Linked DNA regions of Alligator mississippiensis. The protein of the gene in region 1 interacts with the protein of each later gene in a pairwise test. Links are inferred from orthologs where the notes say so. Each region holds a gene or a part of one and is shown in the gene's direction. Other genes may lie near its edges.

What was found.
Region 2: the proteins of THAP7 (region 1) and CCNDBP1 interact in binary tests that used the Homo sapiens proteins (3 or more experiments, as listed by UniProt). The two-hybrid records come from large-scale screens. The link is inferred for Alligator mississippiensis from reciprocal best matches to the Homo sapiens genes THAP7 and CCNDBP1.
Region 3: the proteins of THAP7 (region 1) and LURAP1 interact in a two-hybrid assay, tested with the Homo sapiens proteins (2 studies listed by BioGRID and IntAct). The two-hybrid records come from large-scale screens. The link is inferred for Alligator mississippiensis from reciprocal best matches to the Homo sapiens genes THAP7 and LURAP1.

What each region holds. Positions count from the first base shown.
Region 1 is NC_081828.1:75,277,369-75,284,303, forward strand, and holds the start of THAP7 (THAP domain-containing protein 7), read left to right. Parts: upstream 1-3,887; 5' UTR 3,888-3,971; intron 3,972-4,219; coding exon 4,220-4,299; intron 4,300-5,233; coding exon 5,234-5,389; intron 5,390-6,935. UniProt on the Homo sapiens protein: Chromatin-associated, histone tail-binding protein that represses transcription via recruitment of HDAC3 and nuclear hormone receptor corepressors.
Region 2 is NC_081832.1:303,226-310,641, reverse strand, and holds the start of CCNDBP1 (cyclin-D1-binding protein 1), read left to right. Parts: upstream 1-4,384; 5' UTR 4,385-4,529; coding exon 4,530-4,599; intron 4,600-4,694; coding exon 4,695-4,760; intron 4,761-4,863; coding exon 4,864-4,943; intron 4,944-5,049; coding exon 5,050-5,131; intron 5,132-5,257; coding exon 5,258-5,354; intron 5,355-5,617; coding exon 5,618-5,691; intron 5,692-5,939; coding exon 5,940-6,016; intron 6,017-6,622; coding exon 6,623-6,876; intron 6,877-7,251; coding exon 7,252-7,312; intron 7,313-7,416. Other genes in the region: ZNFX1 (NFX1-type zinc finger-containing protein 1), read left to right, coding at 300-395, 1,756-4,188. UniProt on the Homo sapiens protein: May negatively regulate cell cycle progression. May act at least in part via inhibition of the cyclin-D1/CDK4 complex, thereby preventing phosphorylation of RB1 and blocking E2F-dependent transcription.
Region 3 is NC_081828.1:3,376,132-3,383,128, forward strand, and holds the start of LURAP1 (leucine rich adaptor protein 1), read left to right. Parts: upstream 1-3,930; 5' UTR 3,931-3,995; coding exon 3,996-4,199; intron 4,200-6,997. UniProt on the Homo sapiens protein: Acts as an activator of the canonical NF-kappa-B pathway and drive the production of pro-inflammatory cytokines. Promotes the antigen (Ag)-presenting and priming function of dendritic cells via the canonical NF-kappa-B pathway.

The sequences.
Region 1 (6,935 bases):
GGCTTGCCCCTCCACCGTAGGCCTGGCTCCCACTCTTCTTGGGCTTTCTGCTGCTCTATACTCTGGCACTGATAGGGAATGGGCTTCTAGTGGGGCTGAGCTGGTTTGATCCCTACCTGGGCTCTCCCATGTATGTCTTTCTGAGGAACTTCTCAGTGCTGGACACGTGCTATGCCTTTGTCACACTGTCTCAGCTGCTAGCTGGCCTGCTGAAGGGCCACCGGGTCATTGCACTCATGGCCTGTGCCACCCAGACCTGCATCTTCCTCTCACTTGTTATTCCCCTGTGCTTGCTGCTGGCCATCATGGCCTATGACTGCTACTTGGCTGTGTGTCACCCACTACATTACATGACCCTCATGAGCCCTGGGTAGTGCTGGGGGCCGGCAGGCACAGCCTGGGTTGATGGTTTCTTCCTCTCTGGGGTAGACACTGCTGTGGCTTTCCACCTGCCCTACTGTGAACATGCCCACATCAACTACTTCTTCTGTGAGGTGACAGCTGTGCTGGAACTGGCATGTGCTGGCGCCTCAGCTGCCCAGGCTGTGGTAATGGTAGTGGGTGTGCTGGTCCTCTTGGCTCCTCTCGCTTTCATCCTGGCCTCCTATGTCCTCATTGTGTGGATGGTGATATATATACGTTCCAGCCAGGGCTGCCGCTGGGCCTTCTCCACTTGTCTCCCACCTCACTGTGGTGACCATCTTCTATGGGGCTGCCATCTATACCTACATGAGGCCCTGCCTCAGCCTCTGGCCTATCCTGGACAAAGTTGTGTCCATCTTCTACACAGCAGTCACCCAGCACTGAACCCTCTCATATATAGCCTCCGCAACAAGGAGGTGAAGGGAGCTCTGGCCAGGGCTGCCCAGCGTGGCTCCACCTCATGCCTCTGAGCTGGCAGGGCACCCCTGCAGATAGTCCTCCACTGGCAGCATTCCTCCATCTGTGGGGACACTGGATCCTCAGAAGAAAGATGTCAGCTTCTGGCATAGGTCAATCTATGATTTTGAAAGAGGGGGTGTGGTAGATGCAACTGGTGCCACAGGGGCAGCTGCCAGGACCCCTCCCTCCCAGCATCTCCCCTGATCTTGATTCGTGCCATGGCTGCTTTTGTCTTGAGCTGTTCCACAAGGGGCTGCATGTGTTCAGATTTGGAAGACATGAAGGTGGCTCCGCTTGTTATGCAAATCGACTTTTTGCCTATTGTTTTTAATCTTATGTATTTTGTTGAGTTTTGTATTGCCTTAAGAAACTCCATTTTGTATTGCTCTGTAGCTTGACACAAGTGCTCGACCTTTTACGCTTTTGTATGCTGTATGGATGAGTGTGTGTTTGTGGAAAAGGAAAACATTGGCTGGTGACTGGCTGAAGAATGCAGACAGATAAAAGACCAAAACAAGAAGAATTTGCCCCGGAACAGTGAGAGAACAATGAAATTGACCTTCAAGGAAGAACACAGCAAAAGCCCAGAGGACAGGGTGAATTGACAAGGCTATAAAAGATGGGGCGAGACATATCGATTTTGGGTCTTGTTCTGCACGTCATCCTAGAGCATTGGTTTGTCTGACAAGATGGACCAGCAGGAGCCCAGCGCCTACTCATAATCAACTTGGCTAGCCACTAAGCTGATCCAAGTACTGATAAGACTGGTAATGTATACCACTGCAAAACAGAAATTGGGGGTATGAATGTGATGTGTGTGTGTGTATTAAGTGCTTAATCAATAAATGTGGCATCTTGCCTTATCCTCCCTCATAAGGTCTTGCTTGTGATTTGAGCAATTGTCAATTTGTGTAACACGCTTTCCTGTGCCCCCAGATGCAAGGGTCCACCAGGGTACCCCCTTTCTCCACCTGCTCCCTGCCACTGCTACTGTCTCCAACCAAGGTGGGCACCCCACATAGCTGCTTCCCATCACCTGTGGCTGGGGCAGGGCAGAACCAGCCTTGGGGCTCCCCCCACTCTTGGGTCAGCTGGGGAGAGTGGCCATAAAAGGTGGGTGCCTCCTTTCTGTGCTTGCTCCCTGTTTGCTCCCCCTGGGTGTCCATCAGGAGCACAGGGCTCTAGCCATGCCTTACACTCCCTCACCTGCCATGGTCTGAGACCAGTTCCTGCTCTCTGGATTCCAAGGGGTACCCAGGTGTCTGTGTGGGAAGTGGAGCCACCAGCGTGTCATCTAGAGAGCGCACTACTCTGCATCATGGAAAGGGGGTGCAACTACACTACTGCACTCCCCCTGGATCCACCCCTCACTTCTGGGTGAGGAAGACCAGGCTGTGGTCTACCTTCAGCTGACCAGTACTGTTCCAGCCTTGCCAGCAAGGGGTATTTAAAAATGACAAGATTAGATTAAAATAATTGTAATATAATAAAGAGTTTAGACTGTCTTTCTGTAACACTTTTGGGCAACTGTGCGTACGCCGCCCAGAGGGCTGGCGGGGACTCCTCCTCAGGCAGGGAGGCAGGAGCCCCTCTGCTCTGTGGAAGGAGGCGGAGGCGGGCAGGGAGTTTATATGCTAGCAATATATATATACTAACTATACTTGCCCATCCCATGGTAATCCTAATCATAATCCTAATGCAATCTAACTCTGATCCCATCCTACTGTATCTATAATAATCAGAATGCCACTCTATTGTAATGCTGCTCTTCCTTTCTCGTACACTGTTGTAATATTAAATACATTCTAGGCAATTTCATTTCATCCTATCCTATAATCCTTGTTATGATAATCTGAATTTCATCCTACCCTAATCCCAACTGTAATTTAATTCTAATCCTTATTGTAGTCTTATACTTTTCTAGCCTACTTTATCCTCACTCAAAATTATTTCTATAGAGTAATTGTCAACCCAGTTCCTTGTATCCCACCCTAATAGCTCCAATTTTCAGTTAAAAAAGACATAACCCTAAAGCCACATTTTTCCCCGTGATTTAAATGAAATGCTGCTAATATAGAGATATATGTATACTAGCATTTCATTTTAATCACAGGAAAAAGTGGATTTGGGGTTTTTTGGGTTTTTTTTAAACCAAAAATTGGGAAGTTTTTTAAATCGGAGAAAACCAGGATTCCCCCTTCTCAGGCGGGTCCCTGCAGGGAGCCTGAACTGGCGTCAGTAATGTGGGAGGCAACATAGGTGACTTCAGCCCCAAGCCCACCCCATCTGTTTCTTCCCCCCGGCTCCGTGCAGGGGCGGGGGCACGACGCCGCCGAGGGACTCAGTTCCTGCACAGGCTGCGGTCAGAGTCCGGGTGGAAGGGCCGGGCCGGGCCGGGCCGGGCCGGGCCGCAGGAGGCGCTTTGGGTCCCTGGGTCGGGCGTGGCTTCACGCCGGCACGGGGAACACGGACGCTGCCTCTGGGAGGCTGCACCACTGCTTCTCAACCAGGTTTAGTAGCACTGCTCGCCGGGAGGGAAGAGACAAACCCGCACCCCCGGCGGACATGGGAAGTCCCGGGCTGCAGCTGGAGCTCAGCGCCGAGACCCGAAGAGACCGCACAGTCTAGGAGGCGCCGCGCACACTAACACAGGCGCGGGGCGGGGCCGCGCCAGCCTGGGGGAGGGGCACCGGCGAGGAGCGCGGGGGCCGGGCTCCTAGCCCCACCCAGACCCCCGCCCTCCACGCTCCTACCTCACCCTCTTAGCTCCGCCCCCTTCGCGTGGCTAGGGAGGGGCAACAGAGGGGAGGACGAGAGCGCGGGGCGGGGCCTGAGGAGGGCTCCGCGGGAGGGGGCGGGTCCCGGCTCCGATTCGCTGGCAGGGAGGGGGCGGGCCCTCAAGACAGCCCCGGTCCCGCCCCCCTCAGGTCCCACAGCAAGCGGAGTACGAACCCCGATTGGCCGTTTGGAAAACCCGCTCGCTGGCTCCCGCAGCCCAGCTCTCGCGATGTTCTACGGCGCGGGATTCTCGGCCCAGCTCTCGAGAAAACGGAATTCTCGCCCTGCAGCAGAGTGATGGGAGCGGCGAGGTGAGACCCGGAAACGACCTGGGCTGGCCAGTTCCGTCCCGGCCCCGTGCAGAACCACCTCCTTCGGGCTCGCGCAGGCGGGGCGGGGCGGGGCCGGGCGGGGGCCCCCCCCCCGGCTGTGCGGTTGCGCATGCGCGGGGCTGTGTGCGGCTGGGGGTCCCGCTAGGCCGGGGGGCGGGGCCGGGCGGGGCCGGTCTCGTCTCGTCTCGTCTCGTCTCGTCTCACGGCTTCGGTGTCGCCCGCTGCAGATGCCCCGTCACTGCTCTGCTGCTGGCTGCTGCACCCGCGACACCCGCGAGACCCGCGGCCGAGGCATCTCCTTCCACCGGTGAGTCCGTCCCGGGTCTGGCGCCCTGCCTCCACCCCGGCCTGTGCGGCGCTGCCTCTGTTCCCGAGCCTGTGCAGGCCCTGCTTCCCATTCACCTGGAGGTCATCCCCCACCCCGTGTACCTCCGCCCTGCGGAGCGTGTTGTGAGGCGCCTGCCTCGGCACAGCCCCGGGCCCTCCCCACTGCGCCCCCTCGCTGGGCTCTGGAGCATGTTGAACCCATCCTCTCTGTGCAGCTCCTCACTGCCAGCTGAGCACGCTCCTGCACGTCTGGCCCCAGCACCAGGTGGCAGGGCTGAGGGTCCCTGTGAGCTAGCCTGCCTTCTACCCCAATCCCATGAGCCAGTGGGGACTAAAGTTGGGGACTTTTACACCTTCATCTGCTGCACTTCATTGATTTTGTTGTTACTTGCCCTTTCTGTGAACAGAGGGAAGCCCTGGCATGTGGCAGGCTGCAGACCTCCTCCTGTCATCACTCTGCACTTCTCCCTGCATCTCTAATTTTAGGCACTCCCTGTCCATGGCCCCACCAAGTCCTGGGATGTCCTGGTCAACCTCCTCCTGGCTCTGGCCACCTACAGGCCAGGAGGAGGTATTTGTGGGAGGAGACCCAGGCAACTGTTGGACTGCCTTCCTGTCATTCCTCCACACACATTTCTGGATAGAGTTTCATTGAGAGGCATCTGCTGGCTTCTGGGGTGTAGTGGAAGGGCAGTAGTTGCTAGCTGGTGTCCTCTACTTGGTGTCCTACCTTGGACCACTTGTTACCAACCTGTGACTTTCATTCCTGTCTTGTTTTCTCTCTTGTTGTCCAGTGTAATCTGTTAACATGCATTCTCCTTCCTCAACCAATGAAGTTCCTTGTTGTAGCAGTTAAGGCCCCCAGGTTGCCCTTTCTTGGAGTAACTCAGCAGTGCTGGCCTTATCTCTCGCAGGCTGCCCAAGAAGGATAACCCGAGGCGTGTCATGTGGCTGGAAAACTGTCGGCGCAAGGATCCCAGCGGTCAGGGTCTCTGGGATCCGACCTCCAAGTACATCTACTTCTGTTCCAAGCATTTTGAGAAGAGCTGCTTTGAGATGATGGGCATCAGGTGAGTGCAGGAAATCATGCCAACCCTGGATAACTCCAGTTTTGTGCCTCAGGGCAGAGTGGCAGTGAGAAGCTAGATCTAAACCAGCCTGGGCAAACAAGCTTTCTTGTGAGCACTTGTAATTCTGCGAGTAGCTGCCACTTTCTTTCATCTTGGGCTGGACTCCTCCACATGCCCCTGTCCTTCCCCTTGCCCCTTTCTAGATTTGTACACCTCTTTCCTCCACAAAAACAGATTGGTTTGCGTGGAACTTCCTGAGTTAGGAAGCATCTTCTGCTCCCAGTGGAAGTTCACTGAACTTCATGAATCTTTTGCCTGCTTCCCCTCCATTGAAAATGATTTGATTTACTCAGGCTGAAAACAGACATCACCTCTGTGCTGCTGTTAAATTTTTGATGGGGGCACAAAGCAAAAGCAAAAGCAAACCATGCTCTTTGTCATGCCACAAATGCCCAAATTTGTGGCCATGACAAAAAGCAGTATTAATTTTTGCTACTAGTTTGCGGTGGACTTCTGTTTGCTTTATGGCAGGAGAGCGTGGGCAGCCTGAAACTCCCAAGACTTTAGGGGCCTGATCCTGAGCATCTGGGGAATTCCCCTGCAGGGATATTTTTAGGGCATGCAGGATCATGCATCTTCAGCCCTGGGAATGCTTGACCATGTTGACCTGGGAGTGCTTGACCCCATTGCTGCATCCTGACTTGGGGCACACCTCTGCCAATGGGGGAACCCCAGGTAAGTGTTCCTAGAGCTTTAGGGGTCCCTGTTTGCAGTGGGGTGCCCTAGAAATCCCCCAGCACGGATTGTGCTGCTGCACCCTCAGGGCATGTCTCTATAAGTAGGGGAACCCCAAGGTTCCCCCACTTGCAGAGGTGCACTGCAAGTTGGTTCTCCTGTTTCAGTTGTCCCACAAGATCAGGCCCCAGGAGTAGCAGGGGCCTGACCTGGCTGGAAACAGGTGCTCAGTGAAGTGGACCAGTTGTTCTGGGAAACATCCTGGAACAGCTGATGCCACAACAAAAATGGCATCTATTTTTAGCTTCAGTTCTCTCTTAGTTCAGACACATCTCCTTCCTCCTCCTACAAAGATGGACGCGTCTATCTGGTTCTTCCCTCATCCCAGTAAAGATGGACTGGTCTGCTTGGTCCTTGTTCCCCCCAGTCAAGATGTATCTCCCTTCTCTCTGGACTCATTTAGTGACAAATGCTGAGAGAGCAGTCATCCTTTGGTACAACAGCCCTGTTAAACTACTGGTGAGATGCAAGAATGTTCCAGACCAGTGATTCTCAACCTTTTTTGAACTAAGACCCATTTGTAAACATTGATGGTCCAGCCCCCCAGCTGGTGAGGTTAGGGAGTGGGTTGTGGGGCATGGAGGCCCCCAAGCAGCCCCTTGCAGGCTGGAACTCTTATAGCCTGCAAGGGGAAAGCCACGGTTTCCCACATTTTTTCTCCTTTAAAGGAGAATCCATGTTTAAAGTTTGCTGATCCATTTTAAACATTTGTTCATGACCCTTTCATATAATTCTTGTGACCCATTTTTTG
Region 2 (7,416 bases), on another chromosome or scaffold:
CTGGACACTTGTCCACTGGGACCTGGGTTGAAATGACCAAACGTATTTACTGCAGTCCTTGCAAACAGCCTTTGTGAAGACACTTCTGATCCCTTTCTGCTGACTGGACTGGAATGGCTGACAGAGCAGGGGGTGGCCTTGTGAATCCAGGTTTCTGTGTCGTGGTGGTTGCCTTGTGTGTGTTCTTTGTTCCCCAGTGAAGCCAGAGATGGTTAGCAGGGGAGAGGCACAGTTCCCTCCAGCGTGAGAAGTTGGCTGTGCTCCTCCGGCAGTGCTGACCTGACAACTTTGTATTTCAGCACCGCATGCGCCCTGAGATTGCCCAGCTCCTTACTCCTCACATATACCAGGAGCTGGAGAACCACCCCTCGGTCCTCACCTATGAGAACATCAAGGTACATTCACAGCTGGTGCTAACCAGTGTGTCTCAAACCTTTTACTGGTAACTGGAACCCTCTGTTTAGCTCCATCATACCTGGTTGCTTTTTGGGGTTATACTGAAGTGCCTCAGCCTCACTCATTAAATTCATCTGTTTTAAAAAATATGACAGCTGACTTGGGAATTAGGTGCTATAAGAGACAACTGTATGTGGCAGCAACAAGACAGACTATGGTGCTGCATCCAGTTCTTACGGCAACCTTCTAAGAAAGATGACAAAGACCTGAAAGATGCAGAATGATGCATAGATGATTGGAGGCTCGAAAAACACTGCTAGAACGAGGCACCCTAGGACCTTAATCTTCTTATTGGAAAACAGATCAGCAACTCGATTGTTATGTATTTACTTCATGAGGTGAACATACCGGCACTCATGGATTCCTTAATGTAGCAGAAACAAACGAGAACCAACAGGTCAATGCTGAACTGAGGCAAATTTTAAATTAGACCAGATATTTTTAGCAGTGAGGATGACTAACAGTGGAACAAAGTGGTAAGGAACAGTGTGGGAAGGCCAGTAGTGGCCAACCTTTGTGACAAGCATGCCACAAGTGCAGCCCAAAGTATGAGCCAGTGCATCCACTGTATTGCCCTTTTCCATCAAACTAGTTATGCTGGCACAAAAGCAAAGGGCTGCCAGATATCCCTTCCTCCTTCAGACAAAATACAAGACCTTAAATACTCAGGCCCTAAAGTTGGGCGAAAGGAGGAGGAACGCACCTCTAAATGAATGAGCTTATTTGGATTTCAGAACCAAAGTGCCACAGACCCTGAGATGAGACTTATGTGGACTGCAAGTACCACACAGACACGTCACTGGAAAGTGCACGTGTGCATTCCACCCAAGCTGCTGGGTGTATCTGTAAGTGATAAAGCCTGTCCATCCACCCATTCCCCTGCCCTCAAAGGAAAACTTGTCTTTAGTGTATGGAACATCTGCTTGCAAACACCCACCAGCACCCATCCCTTCTAGATAATGTGAAGAATATTGCAGGTGATGAGAGAACTTGGGTCTTCCAAATAGTGCAGCATTTCTGAGTTGTCAGTGCTGTCCTATCAGGACTCTGAGGCATGGCTTGCAACCTGAAAGTCTTTCTTTCTTGCTAGTTATGTTGTGAAAATGTCTGACAGAGGCTTTGCCTTAGGTGTGTGATGCTCTGCCGCACTGCACCACCCAACACCCTCCCCCCCGCCCCGGTGTCTGTAAACTATGCCTGAAGTCTTAGGGAGGAAACCACAGATGCAAAAGGGAAGGTTGCCATGTTGGAAGGAACTCTTCTTTTCTCTGGTGACCTTTCCCTCTCTTTTCATTTCAGGGGGTTGCATCTAACCTCTTCTTTGTGGAGCATGACTTCCCTGAAGAGGAAATCCAGGAAGGGAAAAGCCATCAGAACCCACACGAGGCCAAATTCGTGGTGGAGCTATGCAAGTACTTCCTGTGCCAGGACTACCTGCCCTCTCAGATCACCATCCTCACCACCTACACTGGGCAGCTTTTCTGTTTGCGCAGGCTCATGCCTGCCAAAACCTTTGCAGGTGTGAAAGTTCACGTGGTGGATAAGTACCAGGGTGAGGAGAACGACATTATCTTGCTTTCACTTGTGCGAAGTAACAGGGAAGAGAGAGCTGGATTCCTGCAGATTTCCAACCGGATCTGCGTGGCATTATCCAGAGCCAAGAAAGGGCTGTACTGCATTGGGAACATGGGGATGCTCGGCAAGGTCCCCCTCTGGAGCAAGATCATTCACACTCTCCGAGAGAAAGGTCGGATCGGCCGCTCGCTGATACTGTGCTGCCAGAACCACCCTGACACTCGGACCCTGGTGTCCAAAGCAGCAGACTTCTGCCAAGTTCCAGAAGGGGGTTGCAGCCGCCCCTGTGAGTTCAGGCTGAGTTGCGGACACGTCTGCACTCGGGCATGTCACCCCTATGACATCCAGCACAAGGAGTTTCAGTGTCTGAAGCCCTGCCAGAAGGTGCTCTGCAAAGATGGGCACCGTTGCCCCCATTTGTGCTCTGAACCCTGTGAAGAATGCATGGTGAAAGTGCCGAAAACTATCCCCAAATGCGGCCACCCACAGATGGTTCCTTGCTCCACCCCTGCAAGTGAGTTTTCTTGTCAAGAGCCTTGTCAGAAGTATCTGACATGTGGGCACAAATGTAACAAGCTCTGTGGGCAGGAATGCACTGCGCAGTGTCCTGAGCTGGTGATGGTCACATTAAAATGTGGCCACGACCAGCAGGTGAAATGCTGGATCACGGAAGAGATGGAAAATGGGATGCCTGTGAAGTGTAAAACGAAATGTGTGACCACGCTGGACTGTGGCCATGTCTGCCCGGGCTCCTGCAACACCTGCTATGAAGGGCGATTTCACGAGCAGTGCAAGAACCCCTGCAAGCGCTTCCTCGTTTGCTCCCACAAGTGTCAGCAACCTTGCACTGGGGAGTGCCCTCCCTGCCAGCAAGCATGTCAGAACCACTGCGTCCACAGTCAGTGTAAAAAGAAATGTGGGGAGATGTGTATCCCATGCATGGAGCCATGCGAGTGGCGGTGCCAGCACTACCAGTGCACGCAGCTTTGCTCAGAGCCATGCAACAGGCCCCGCTGTGATGTACGGTGCAGTAAGAAGCTGCGCTGTGGTCATCCCTGCATCGGGCTGTGCGGGGAACCCTGCCCCAAAAAGTGCCTTGTGTGTGACCACGATGAAGTCACTCAGATATTTTTTGGCTTTGAGGAGGATCCGGAAGCCTGCTTTGTGCAGCTGGAAGACTGCGGCCACATCTTTGAGTCCCAAGGTCTCGACTATTACATGGACGAAGACGAAAGTGCCGTCAAGCTGAAGGTGTGTCCCATCTGCCAGACGCCAATTAGAAAGAACTTGAGATACGGCACCATTGTGAAAAAGCGGCTGGAGGAGATCGAGAAGGTGAAGGAGAAAATCCAAGGCCCAGCGCGTGAAATTGAAACGAGCAGGCACAGGCTGCAGGCCACGCTGGAAGGGAAGGCCGTTCTGCGGAGGGTGCTGCCTACCAAGTACGACCGGCTGGAGGACAGGCTGAAGCAGCCCAACCTCTCCACGAAGAGCGTCGGGCTCCTGGAGAACCTGATCAACTTCTACGAGCGCGTGGCGGACCTGACCGGGTCCCTGAGCAAGCTGGACCCGAGCGAGCGGGAGGTGCTGAGGAAGCGGCTGGCGGAGGTGCAGGAGTGGCTCAGCAAGCAGCGGCTCAGCTTCAGCAGCCAGGAGCTGTCGGACCTGCAGAGCGAGATGCAGCGGGTGACGTACCTGGCCAACCTCCTGACCCGCTGCAGCGCCGCCGGCACGCGGCTCAGCGCCGCGCTGGCCCAGGACGTCGCCGCCCTGCGCACGCTGCTGCAGCGCACCGGGAGGTTCACGGCGGAGGACGAGGCGGCGGTGCGGGTGAAGATGGAGGAGCTGAAGGCCGCGCTGCCCACGTCGGGGCTGGGCATCTCGGAGGAGGAGCGGGTGCAGATCGTCAGCGCCATCGGCTGCCCGCGCGGCCACTGGTTCAAGTGCAGGAACGGGCACGTGTACGTGATCGGGGAGTGCGGCGGGGCCATGGAGCAGGGCGTCTGCCCCGAGTGCCAGGCCGTCATCGGCGGCCACAACCACGCGCTGGACGACTCCAACCGCCTGGCGCCCGAGATGGACGGCGCCGCGCACGCCGCCTGGTCCGACACGGCCAACAACCTGCTCAACTTCGAGGAGCTCGGCCGCCTGCTCTAGGCCGCGCCCGCGCCCGCGCCACGGCCCGCCGCACTTTACCGCCCCGCCCCCGCCCCGCCCCGCCCCGCCCGCGCTGTCCGCGTTTTCACCGCAATAAATTTTATCCAGTCACTCAAGGTGCCTGCTCCGCCCCGGGGGGGCGGGGGTCCTGCCATCACCCGAGCAGCGCCGGAAGTGGGCGCGGGGCAGGGCGGAAGCAGCCCCTACGCGGCGTCTTCCGCCCGGCTGCCGGGCCCTCCCCCAGGTTCGGGCAGTGGGGCCAGTCAGGGCAGCGGCTTCAGCGCTGTCTGCGCGTGCGCGGCGGCGGGGAGTGCGTGTGCGCACTAGGGGGACAGCGCTCGATGGAGCCGGAGCTGGAGCCGCTGCAGCGCCTCGGCGGGGCCCTGCGCGCGGTGCTGGCGCGTGTCCGCGGTGAGCGGCGGGGCGGGGCGGGGCGGGGTCTCGGCCGGGGGTCCCGGTCCCGGTCCCGGTCCCGCGCTGAGCCGCTGCCGCCCGTGTCGTTGCAGAGGGGGAGCCGCCCGCCCGCCGCGCCTGCCCCGCCTTCCAGCCGCCGCGCTTCTGGGCCGCGCTCGGTACCGGGAGGGTGCGGGCGGGGGCGGGCAGCGCGGGGGGGGGGGGTGGGGCGGGGGCGGGGCGGTGTGTGACCGCGCGTCTCCCGGCCGGGGGGCTGCGCAGCCCGGAGCTTCCAGGCGACGTCGCGGGAGGCCACGAAGCTGAGCCTGGCCTTCTCGGGGCCGCTGCCGCCGCGCGCCCAGGTGGGTGCTCCGCGGCCGCCCCCCGCCCCGCCCCGCCCCAACCCTAGGCTCCCCGCCACCCCGCGCCCCCTTCACCCTCGCCTCGCCTCGCCTCGCCCCCCCGCAGGACCGCGAGAAGCTGTGCGACGGTGTGCGGGATGCCGTGCTGGCGGCCGCCGCGGCCTACCACGGGCTGCCCAAGGACCGAGGTGAGGCGGCCGCACCCCTGCCCCCAGGAGGAGCCGGGAGGGAGGGTGCTGGCGGGGGCAGAAGGGGCCGTGCAGAGCGGCCCCCGCGTCCCGGCCATCAGCCTCTTCCTTCTAAACCTCTCCCAGGGACCACGCTCCGGAAGATGGTGCGCGACGCCACCGCCGAGGTGGTGGAGGGCACGATCCAGCTCACAGACGTGATCCTGAGCAGCGCTCTGCAGAGGTAACGCTGGCCCTGCCCCGCCCCAGCTCGACCGGCCTCGCGGCGGGTCGCGGCCACGGGAGAGCAGCGGCTTCGTGCGTGCATGCGTGCGGTCCGGGCGCCCCCAGGGCCGGCTGGGAGCCTGGGGCTGGGCGTCGTGGGGCGGGGGCGGGGGTCTGCGTGGCTTGGTCAGGCTCGCAGCTTGAGGCGGCTGCCGGGTGCTGCTCAGTCCTCTCAGCGGCGATGGGCCCAGGGCCTCGAGGGATTTTCTTTCTCCGCTTCAGTTTGTCTCGGGAGCAGCTCGTATCGACTGGCGGCGTGTGGGAGGCGTGCGAGCAGGTGTCCAGCCTGCCGCGAGGTAGGTGGCGTCGCTGCAGGTAGCGAGAGCTCTGCTCGCAGCAGCACTGGCCCTGGTAGCCCTGAGACGGAGCGGAGCCGGTGGCTCCTCGGAGGCCAGCCCCTGCCGCACGAGCCGAGTCGCCTGATGCGGGGACGCCGCAGCTCTGAGCGACTGCAGGGAGGCGGGGGAGCGTGGTGCGAGCCGGGGAGGCGGCGGGGTCTGCACAGCCCCCGGCCCACTCACCTCCCTCTGGCCTCTGCGTGCAGATAACCAGGCAGCCGTCCTGTCAGTTGTGGCCACGTATCTGGAAGTGGTCAAGGATGCCCTGAAGGAGATGGAGCAGGTAAGAGGCCCTTACTTCCCTCTACAGACAGCTGTCAGCTCTGGGCTTTGCAGTAGTGCTGCTGTGACAGCAGGCAATGAGTTTGCCCCGGACAGCGGTCCAGTTGGTTTCTGTGTTTTGGTTTCGACTCAGACCGAGATGTTCAGCCCCACACGGCGGGGGCGCCTGTGAAGTGTTCAGTTTCTAGCTCGATATGGGGCTGCTGCAACTCGCGTCCCTGGCTTCTCCCTGAGGGGCTGTTTGCTGGTGGGGAGAGGGGTGTTCCGGCAGGCTCTTGTTTTAGGCGTGTTGGCTGTAGCCCTGATGGTTTAAGGACATAGCTGGACATGGTTCTTTGGGTGAATGCAATATGTTTTATTAAATTAAGTAATTAAATAGTTGGCCTAATAAAAGACATCAGATTTCCCAGCAAGCTCTTGGCATTCGGTAGCCTTGAGGGGAGGGTCTAACTTCTATATCAGTCTCCTACAGAGAAGCCTTCTCAGCAATGGCCTTGGACACCTGGGAGCTGGGGGATCCTGAGGGAAGCTTGGGTGTGCTGGGGATTGCTCGTCATGCCTGGGGCAGATGGTGGGTTCCAGAATCCCGACGTGCTTGTGTCCTCAGGCTCAGGTTGAAGGAGGTGACCCCTACGGGGACATCATGGAGGATGAGGAGCTGGGTTCTCGAGGCAATCGGGATACCTACTGGTCCGAGGCAGACCGGAAGCTGCTCAGCCCCTGCATGGGGCTGATGAAGGCCTCCAAAGCCTGCCTGAAGAAGGTCTTGGGTGCAGTGAAGGCTCACGGCAAAGCAGACACACCGGAACATGTCGCGCAGCTGGATGACCTTGCAGACATTGCCAACGAGATCAGCCCCTGGTGAATCCTCCCTTCCCTTTCATTGTGGCTTGCTGGGTGCTGTGCTAGAAGCAGCATCTTCGCAAGGGTTGCATTGCCTTCTGAGCTGGTGGTGGGAGTAGGGGCATTTGACCCTGGACCTCTGAGATGGGCTACAGGTGTCATCCTAGCTGGGCAGGAGAGAGCTCCAAGGAAGTAGCCTGGGGAACAGGAGTGATGCCCTGGCTGCAAGGCAAGGGAGAGTGTGTTCAGGCAGAACCCATGCTGAACCTGGCAGCACCAGTTTGCTCTCAGAGGCGATTCAGTAGGTGGCTGGTGTCACCTTGGGCTGTGTGCTTGCTGGCACTGCCAGGGGGTCCCCCTCCTGTAGTGACTGCTCTTTCTGTTCTGCCGTAGTGTGGACGAGCTGGCACTGAGCATGTATCCACCCATGAACCAGCTGGCTGTGCGCCTCAATGTAAGTCCTGCTGTTCTTCAGCCTTCCTGTATAGAGGCCCTGGCCTGGCTCCCGTGGAGAGCAGAGCGTGTCCACGGGGGAGCCAGCGCTACAGAGTAACTACA
Region 3 (6,997 bases), about 72 Mb from region 1:
AAAGAGTCCAGTGCAGACGGACCTGGGGGACGAGAGCGAGGAGGAGCAGCTGGGAGAACTGGGGGACTGAGCCTGCAGAAGAGAAGACTGAGGTGGGATTTGATAACAGTCTTGAAATCCCTGAAGGGCGATGGCAGGGAGGATGGAGATGGGCTTTTCTCTGTGGCTGTTGCGGCAGGACTGGGAGCAACAGTCTCAAGCTGCAGGAGGGGAACTGAGGCTGGAGATGAGGAGGAACTGTCTGGTGCTGAGGGGGGTCAGGCATTGGAAACAGGCACCGAGAGGTGGGGAATCTCCAGCCCGCGAAGTTTTCAAGAGCGGGTTGGACAGACACATGGCTGGGATGGGTTAGGGAAGGGTGCTCCTGCCTTGAGCCGGGGGCTGGACGGGACGTAACCTCCTGAGTCCCCTGCCAGCCCTGCTTTCCTGTGATCCAGTATATACACACATACATACTACACACAATTTATACACGCACACATACTTCTCAGCTTCCTCGGTGCAAAAATGAAATTTATTTCCTACCTATGGGACTTTTTACCATCTTTAACTTTCCCTGAGCCTGAGGAAGGGTGTGCAAGCCCAAAAGCTTGAAGGAAAAAATGATATATTTTGCAATTTCTCGGTTGGTCTAATAAAAGGTATCATCTCTGAGCCAAGAGTTCTAGAGTTGTCATTTCTTTTTTTGTCTCAGACCAACACAGCTACCAAATATATCCCTGACACATACCACACACACACACACACACGTATATACACACATACACATGTATACACGCATGCGTATACCTGCATATAGACACATATATGCGCATATCTATATACACATGTCTATACATGTACACACATATATATCACGGACACGGACATATATACACACATACATACACACACACGTATACAAAGGCTGGTAGAAGTTGGTCCTGACTTCAGAGGGTCTGCTCGGAGCGGCTGCACAGGGCTGGGGGTGCCAGCCCCTCTCATGCCTCCCCCATTCAAGCTGGCCTGCGGGGAGTGCCCACCCTCCGCCCATCTTGCAGGGGATCGGGGGCAGCCTGCCTTCATCCCCTGGGACCCCATCAGTTCCTGGGCTGCTGCCAGCAAGGCCAGGCCCTTTCCCTCTACCCTGCATCACCGCTCCGGGCTGACCCCGTTGCCCCCAGACGGGAGACCCAGGGATGCATGGCCCATAGATTTGGGCGAAGACAGCGTCGCTCCTCCACAAGGGGGCAGTGCGCCACCGCCCCTGGGCTGACTGGGCCCAGCCGGATGTCCCACTTGCAACAGGCTTGGGTTTGGGGTCTTGGCTCGTGGCTGGGGGAAGGGACCAACCTTCTCCTTGCCCCTAGGATGCTGTCCCCTACCACTGCACCATGCTGCAGTCAGCAGGCACTGGCACCTGGATGGAGCAGGCAGAGCGCTCGGCCCTCCTTTGTAGACAGGACATGGGCACTAAGTGACAGGGCCAGGGTCGCACAGGCAAGCAGTGGCAGAGCCCTGCTCTCCCTGGACAACATCCGCTGCCCGGATCTCAGCAGCTCGCACCTGGCCCTTGTGCGAAGGGAACTGCTCCATTGCCTGGTGGCAGCAGTAGGAGGCTGTTAGCCTCTCCTGGAGTGGACCAGGCACAGCCTACGAGCCCCTCAAATCCCCCATCCTCCTTTCCCCCCGCAGTGTCAAGGGCTGCATCTCCTCCCTCCACGCCTGCCTCCCCAGGGGGAGATCAGCAGCCAGCTGGCACGGCTGGAGGTGGGGGTCTCTGCGAGGGGCAGCCAGGCCCTCGGGTCCCGTCATGTCCTCAGTGTGGCCCCGTGAGTCCTGGTGCCTCCTCGCGGGCATCGGGGTCAGGAAAGAGGCCCAGGAGAAGGGACCGGGGACTCGGATGCCTGGGCTGTGGTCCACAGAGGTGTCTCTGACAGCTACTGACTGCCCGCAGGACCTTAGGCATGCCAAACATACCTCTCCTGCCTCAGTTTCTCCAGTCTGTGCAGTGGGGACAGGCCACTTCTGTGTCACCAGGCACTGCCCTACTACACAGAATAACACAGGCCTCTTCCCTTTGCCACTGACCCACTGCATGGCCTTGGGCATGACACTTAAGGTCGCGCTGTCCACAGAGACCAGAGGAGCGATTGGCTTTTCAGAGCAAAGTGCCTGGTGGTTTATAGCTCCATGCCTCAGTCACCCCATCTGTGAAATGGGCAGAGAACGGTGCAAGAGCCCACCTCTGCTGTGCAGCAAGACTGGAAGTGCCCCGCGGTGGTGGCAGGGGGTTCAGCACGTCCTCATGCCTAAGCACACACATATGCACACATGTATGCACTGGTGTGCACACATGCCAGGCCACAACACATGCTGCCCCCATCCTTGCCCAGCTCCTGTCCTTCAGGCCTGCTCGCTCCACAGCAAAACACCTCATGAGCTCCGTGCCTCAGTTTCCCCACCTGAACTGACACTGGAGCCTCAATGCCCCGGAGAGTGTGAGCATCCCCCACATGTGGCCCTGGTACAAAGGTAAGAGTCTACAAGTGCTGCAGGAGCTCTTCCTTCAGCTCATGCGAGAGACGATCCTGTTTTTAGTGTGGGTGAGCCGTTGCGGTGCCTCCGACCCGCTTCTCCGCATGCTCCGGCCGTGCAAATGATTAGGGACTTATGCAAATACTATTATACACGGTCAGGTGTAACCAGGCCATGGAGACCCCACGGAGGTGGAGAAAGGGATGGTCCTGGAAAGCAAGAAATGCCCATCTCTCTCAACTGCGTGAAGGACTCCTGCACGGTTCTTTATCCATTTTTATCCCAGCAGGCCCTGGGGGCTCAAACCCAGATCCAGACCCTGTCTGTGCTAGGTCCTGTACAGACGTGCAACCAGCTCGGTCCCTGCCTCTGAGCACACAGTGATCACCGGGTTCGGTAGACACGGGCACAGGGGACTGAGAAGAACTAACAGTGTCCTTTATGGCGGAGCAGCACTCAACCTCTGCAGACCCTTGGTCTGTCTCTCGTTAATTCACCGAATGGAGGGGCCTTCTCCCAATGCCCGACCTCCGTGGTCTCCTCCATAAGGGAGCGTCTCCAAACGAGCACTTCTCTCGCTGCAGAGGACTGGCAGCCCGATGGACCAGCGGGAGCGGGGCTGGGCAGGCCGTGCCTTACACACGGTGGCGCAGCTGGCTAACGAAGCCTCCAAACGGAAATGGCTAATGAATCACCCTTGGTCGGGAGAAGGCGGGGGTGTCAATTATGGCCCTCGGCCGCGTGCCGGCAGCAGCACTCCTGCTCCCATGGCCTTAGTCCACTGGGCCCTGACACCCCGGGGATCCCCTTGGCACTTGCTCAGCTGTTTCCAGGGTCTCAGCAGGCCTTGCACGGAGGGGGCAGCCCGTCCCTACAAGCCGTGCACGGCAATCGTCCCAAGGCTGTTACTGCACAGAGTGGGGAAACTGAGGCACGGGACAGCTTCGCAGCCCTCAGCCAGCTCCTTCCAGCACTTGCACACCTGCTTCCTTTGCCAGCTGTCAGCGCCGCCGTGCTGTGGGCCTGGCGAAAGCCCCCATCCCAGCCAGGAGACACTCGGGGGGGGGCCGGGGCTGGTCTCTGTGGGACGCCTTCTCTGAAGCGGGGAGCCCGGCTGCGGCGGGGAGAGGGGCAGCAGGTGCAGCTCCGAGTTCAGATGTGGGCATTAAGTCTGGGTTTCTGGGAGCCGCCTGGGCAGGGCGCGGCCCCCCGCAACCACCGGCTCCCGGGCCCTGGCAGCCGCGGGCTCGGCTTCCCCGCAGAGCGGAGACATGCCCGAGGCGGCGCAGGAGGGCGGTGGCAGGGAGAGGGAGCGGCGAGGGGAGGGGAGGGGGCGCCGGGCGCGGGGGAGGGCGCGGGCGAGGGCGCGCGCCGCGTTTGTGCGCGCGCGCCGCTCGGGGGAATACGGCGCGGGCGGCGGGCGCACACGGAGCCTTACGGCGGCGGGGGGCCGCGGGTTCGAGGCCGGCCCGGGCGGGATGGAGCCGGGCGCGGCGCTGCCCGCCGAGCTGCGCGAGCTGGAGGGCAAGGCGGGGCGCGGGACGCCCGCGGGGCTGGCGCGGTGGCTGCGCGGGGACCCGCTGCTGCCGCTGCCCCCGGGGCCGGGGCCGGGGCCGGGGCCGGCCGGGGCGGGGGAGGGCGCGGGGCTGTCCGGCAAGATCGCGGCGCTGCGGCTCGAGCTGGTGAGTGCCCCCCCCGCAAAGCCCCGCTGTTTTGCAATAGACCCTTTTGGGTTGCAATACCCCCCCACCTTTGCAAAGCCCCGCTGTTTTGCAGCACGCCCCCTGCACTAGCCCCCTCCCGCAGCCGCACCTCCCCCAGGGTTGCAGCACCCCTCCCGGGCTCTGCAGAGCCCCGCTGTTCTGCAATAGACCCCCCAGCTCTGCAATAGTAGCCCCCCCCCTCCGCAGTAGCCCCCCCGCAGCAATGTCGCTGCCCACCCTGGCAGCACCCCCAGCTCTACCGTAGCCCCCACAGTAGCCCCCCTCCCCGGCTCTGAGTAGTGACCCCCCCACAAGGATTTGCAGTGCCCCCCCAGGGCAGCCCCCCCCAGCTCTGCAGTAGCTTCATGTAGCAACTGCCCCCGCAATAGCTTCCACAGCCCCGAGCCCTCTCCCCCACCTTTAACACCCCCCCCATCTGCAATAGCCCCCGTGGACAGCAATACCCCTGCCCCAATTCTGCCATCCTGCCCCCCAGGCAGCAACCCCCCCCAGCTCTGCAATATTCCCCCTGGGGCAGAGACCCCCCAGTATTGCAATAGCCCCCCTGCAGGGTAGAGACTCCAGCCTGGCCATAGCCGCCCCTCGGTAGTGACCCCCCCCTCCCCCCCGATCTGCAGTAAATAACCCCCCCAGCTGAGCCATAGCTGCCCCCCAGGCATCACCCCCTCTGTTCTGCCCCCTCCCGCACCCGGCCAGGGCCCAGGCCCCCCAGGCTGTGCTGGGGCACATGGGGGGCTTCGCAGGCTCAGGCTGGAGCTATTCGGTGCCAGGGCAGCTGTGGGGGCCCGTTCATGACCGTCACCTTTGCTGTTCCCTATCCCCTCCGCGGTGCCCAAACCCCCGGGGCTGGCTGGGAGTCCCCTTCCGGCGGCTCCGGTGCCCCACACATCCCGCTCAGTCCGGGCCAGCTGGGCCCGAGGTAACATCGCGAGTCCTGATGATCCGGCAGGAATCGGGCCCCCAGAAATGCAAATCCTTCCTCGTCCCTAATTACACCCATTCTCCACCCACCCGGAAGGAGGCTGCAGAACTGGCCGCTCCTGGGAGCAAGGAGACCCGGGCTTCGTTCCCGGTGCTGCCCCCCACTCACTGGGTGACCTCAAGCCCATCACTTAGCTCATTTGGGCCTCAGTTCGCCTGGCTGTAGCCTGCAGGAGGTGCCAACCCATTTTATAAAGCGTTTAGAGCGCCAAAAGGAGCAGGGTGGCGTTGTTATAGGACAGGAGGTCAAGGAAATGGAAGTGCCTGGGGCTTGATCCTGGCAGGTGCCAGGGATGGGGGTGCAGAGCTGCTTTCTGCTCCATCTCTGGCAGAGCCGCTCGGGGCCAGCTGCACTCCCTGCCCCGCGCTGACCCGGCCTGGGATTATCGGGGAGGGGCCGGCTCCAGCGTCGCCCTGGCCTGCCCCGTGCCTCGACCCTTAGCGCCCTGTGCCTGTCCACGGCTCCACGCCTGTGTGGGAGGGCGCCTGCCATGTTACAATGGTGAGGCGGTGAGCAGAGCCCTGCGGCCGGCTGTGCTGTTCCGCCCCAGAAGCAGCTGCGAGTGGCGGGGGTTGGTCCGTAGCTTGCGATGAAAGCAGCTCCTTGCGGGTAATAATAGCACAGAGGAGTCTAATGAGGACACCCCGATCCCATATCACCCCCCTTCCTTGATCTCCTGCCCTATAACAACGGCACCCTGCTCCTATCGGCGCTCTACACGCTTTATAAAATGGGTTGGTACCTCCTGCAGGCTACAGCCAGGCAAACTGAGGCCCAGATTAGCTAAGTGACGGGCTTGAGGTCACCCAGCAAGTGAGTGGCAGCGCTGGGGATGCAGCCCAGACCTCCTGGATCCCAGGAGCGGCCCATTCTGCAACCTCCTTTCGGGTGGACGCAGGCTGGGTGTAATGAGGGAGGAGGAAGGGTTTGCATTTCTGGGGACCTGATTCATCCCGGATACAACACAGAAGCCTGCTTTCCCAGCGTCTTGTGTGCAGGCCTGTTCTCTCTGAGTGTCGGATAGGCTCTCCCGGGCTGGCCTTTGCAGCAGGAGATGGCTCTGGGGGTCTGAAGCCCGTGCCCCCATGCTATAAAGACCCAGCCGAGGGGGGTGGGGGGGGTCCTCCAGATCCCTGGCATGAGCAGGCACAAATGTAATGAAGAGAGCTCCCTGCATTGGTTTCTGTAGCCACCGATCTGGCACCAGCCTCTTCCTTCCCTTCCCTGCTGGTTTTGCTGCCTGCGACGGAGCCTGTCCTTCTGGCGGGCCGGCCCACGCTCTCCCAGCTGCCGGCCCCCGCAGCCCCCTTCCCTGACGCCCGACTGACGTACACCATGCATGGATACCAGATGCAGCAAAACCCAGCTCCGCGTGCCTCCGACGGGGGCTTTTTTAAAGGGGCATCGGCAAGGAAATTGCTTTCGCATGGTGCTGCTCGCAGCGTTGTGGCTCAGGGGAGCAGGGACGATCTAGGGAGCCACGGCTTTTACCGGCGGGCCGCTTTCCCGGTGGGTTTCTAGGCTGAGGTCTAAACACGGAAGCTGCTTCAGAGGCCGGGGATGCAGTGGGGGTGCTCACGGCACCCCAGGGCGGTGTTGTTAACCCTGCTCCCTAATGTGGAAACTGAGGCACGGAGCAGCTAAGTGATGTGCCCGAGGTCACCCAGGTGGCATGACTGGAGCTGTGGCGGGTCTCTTGTCCGGAGGCTTGAGAATTGGCGGAGGCAGGCCCCGGGCTTGGCTAAGTGCAATGCGGGACGCAGCCCGGCATCCC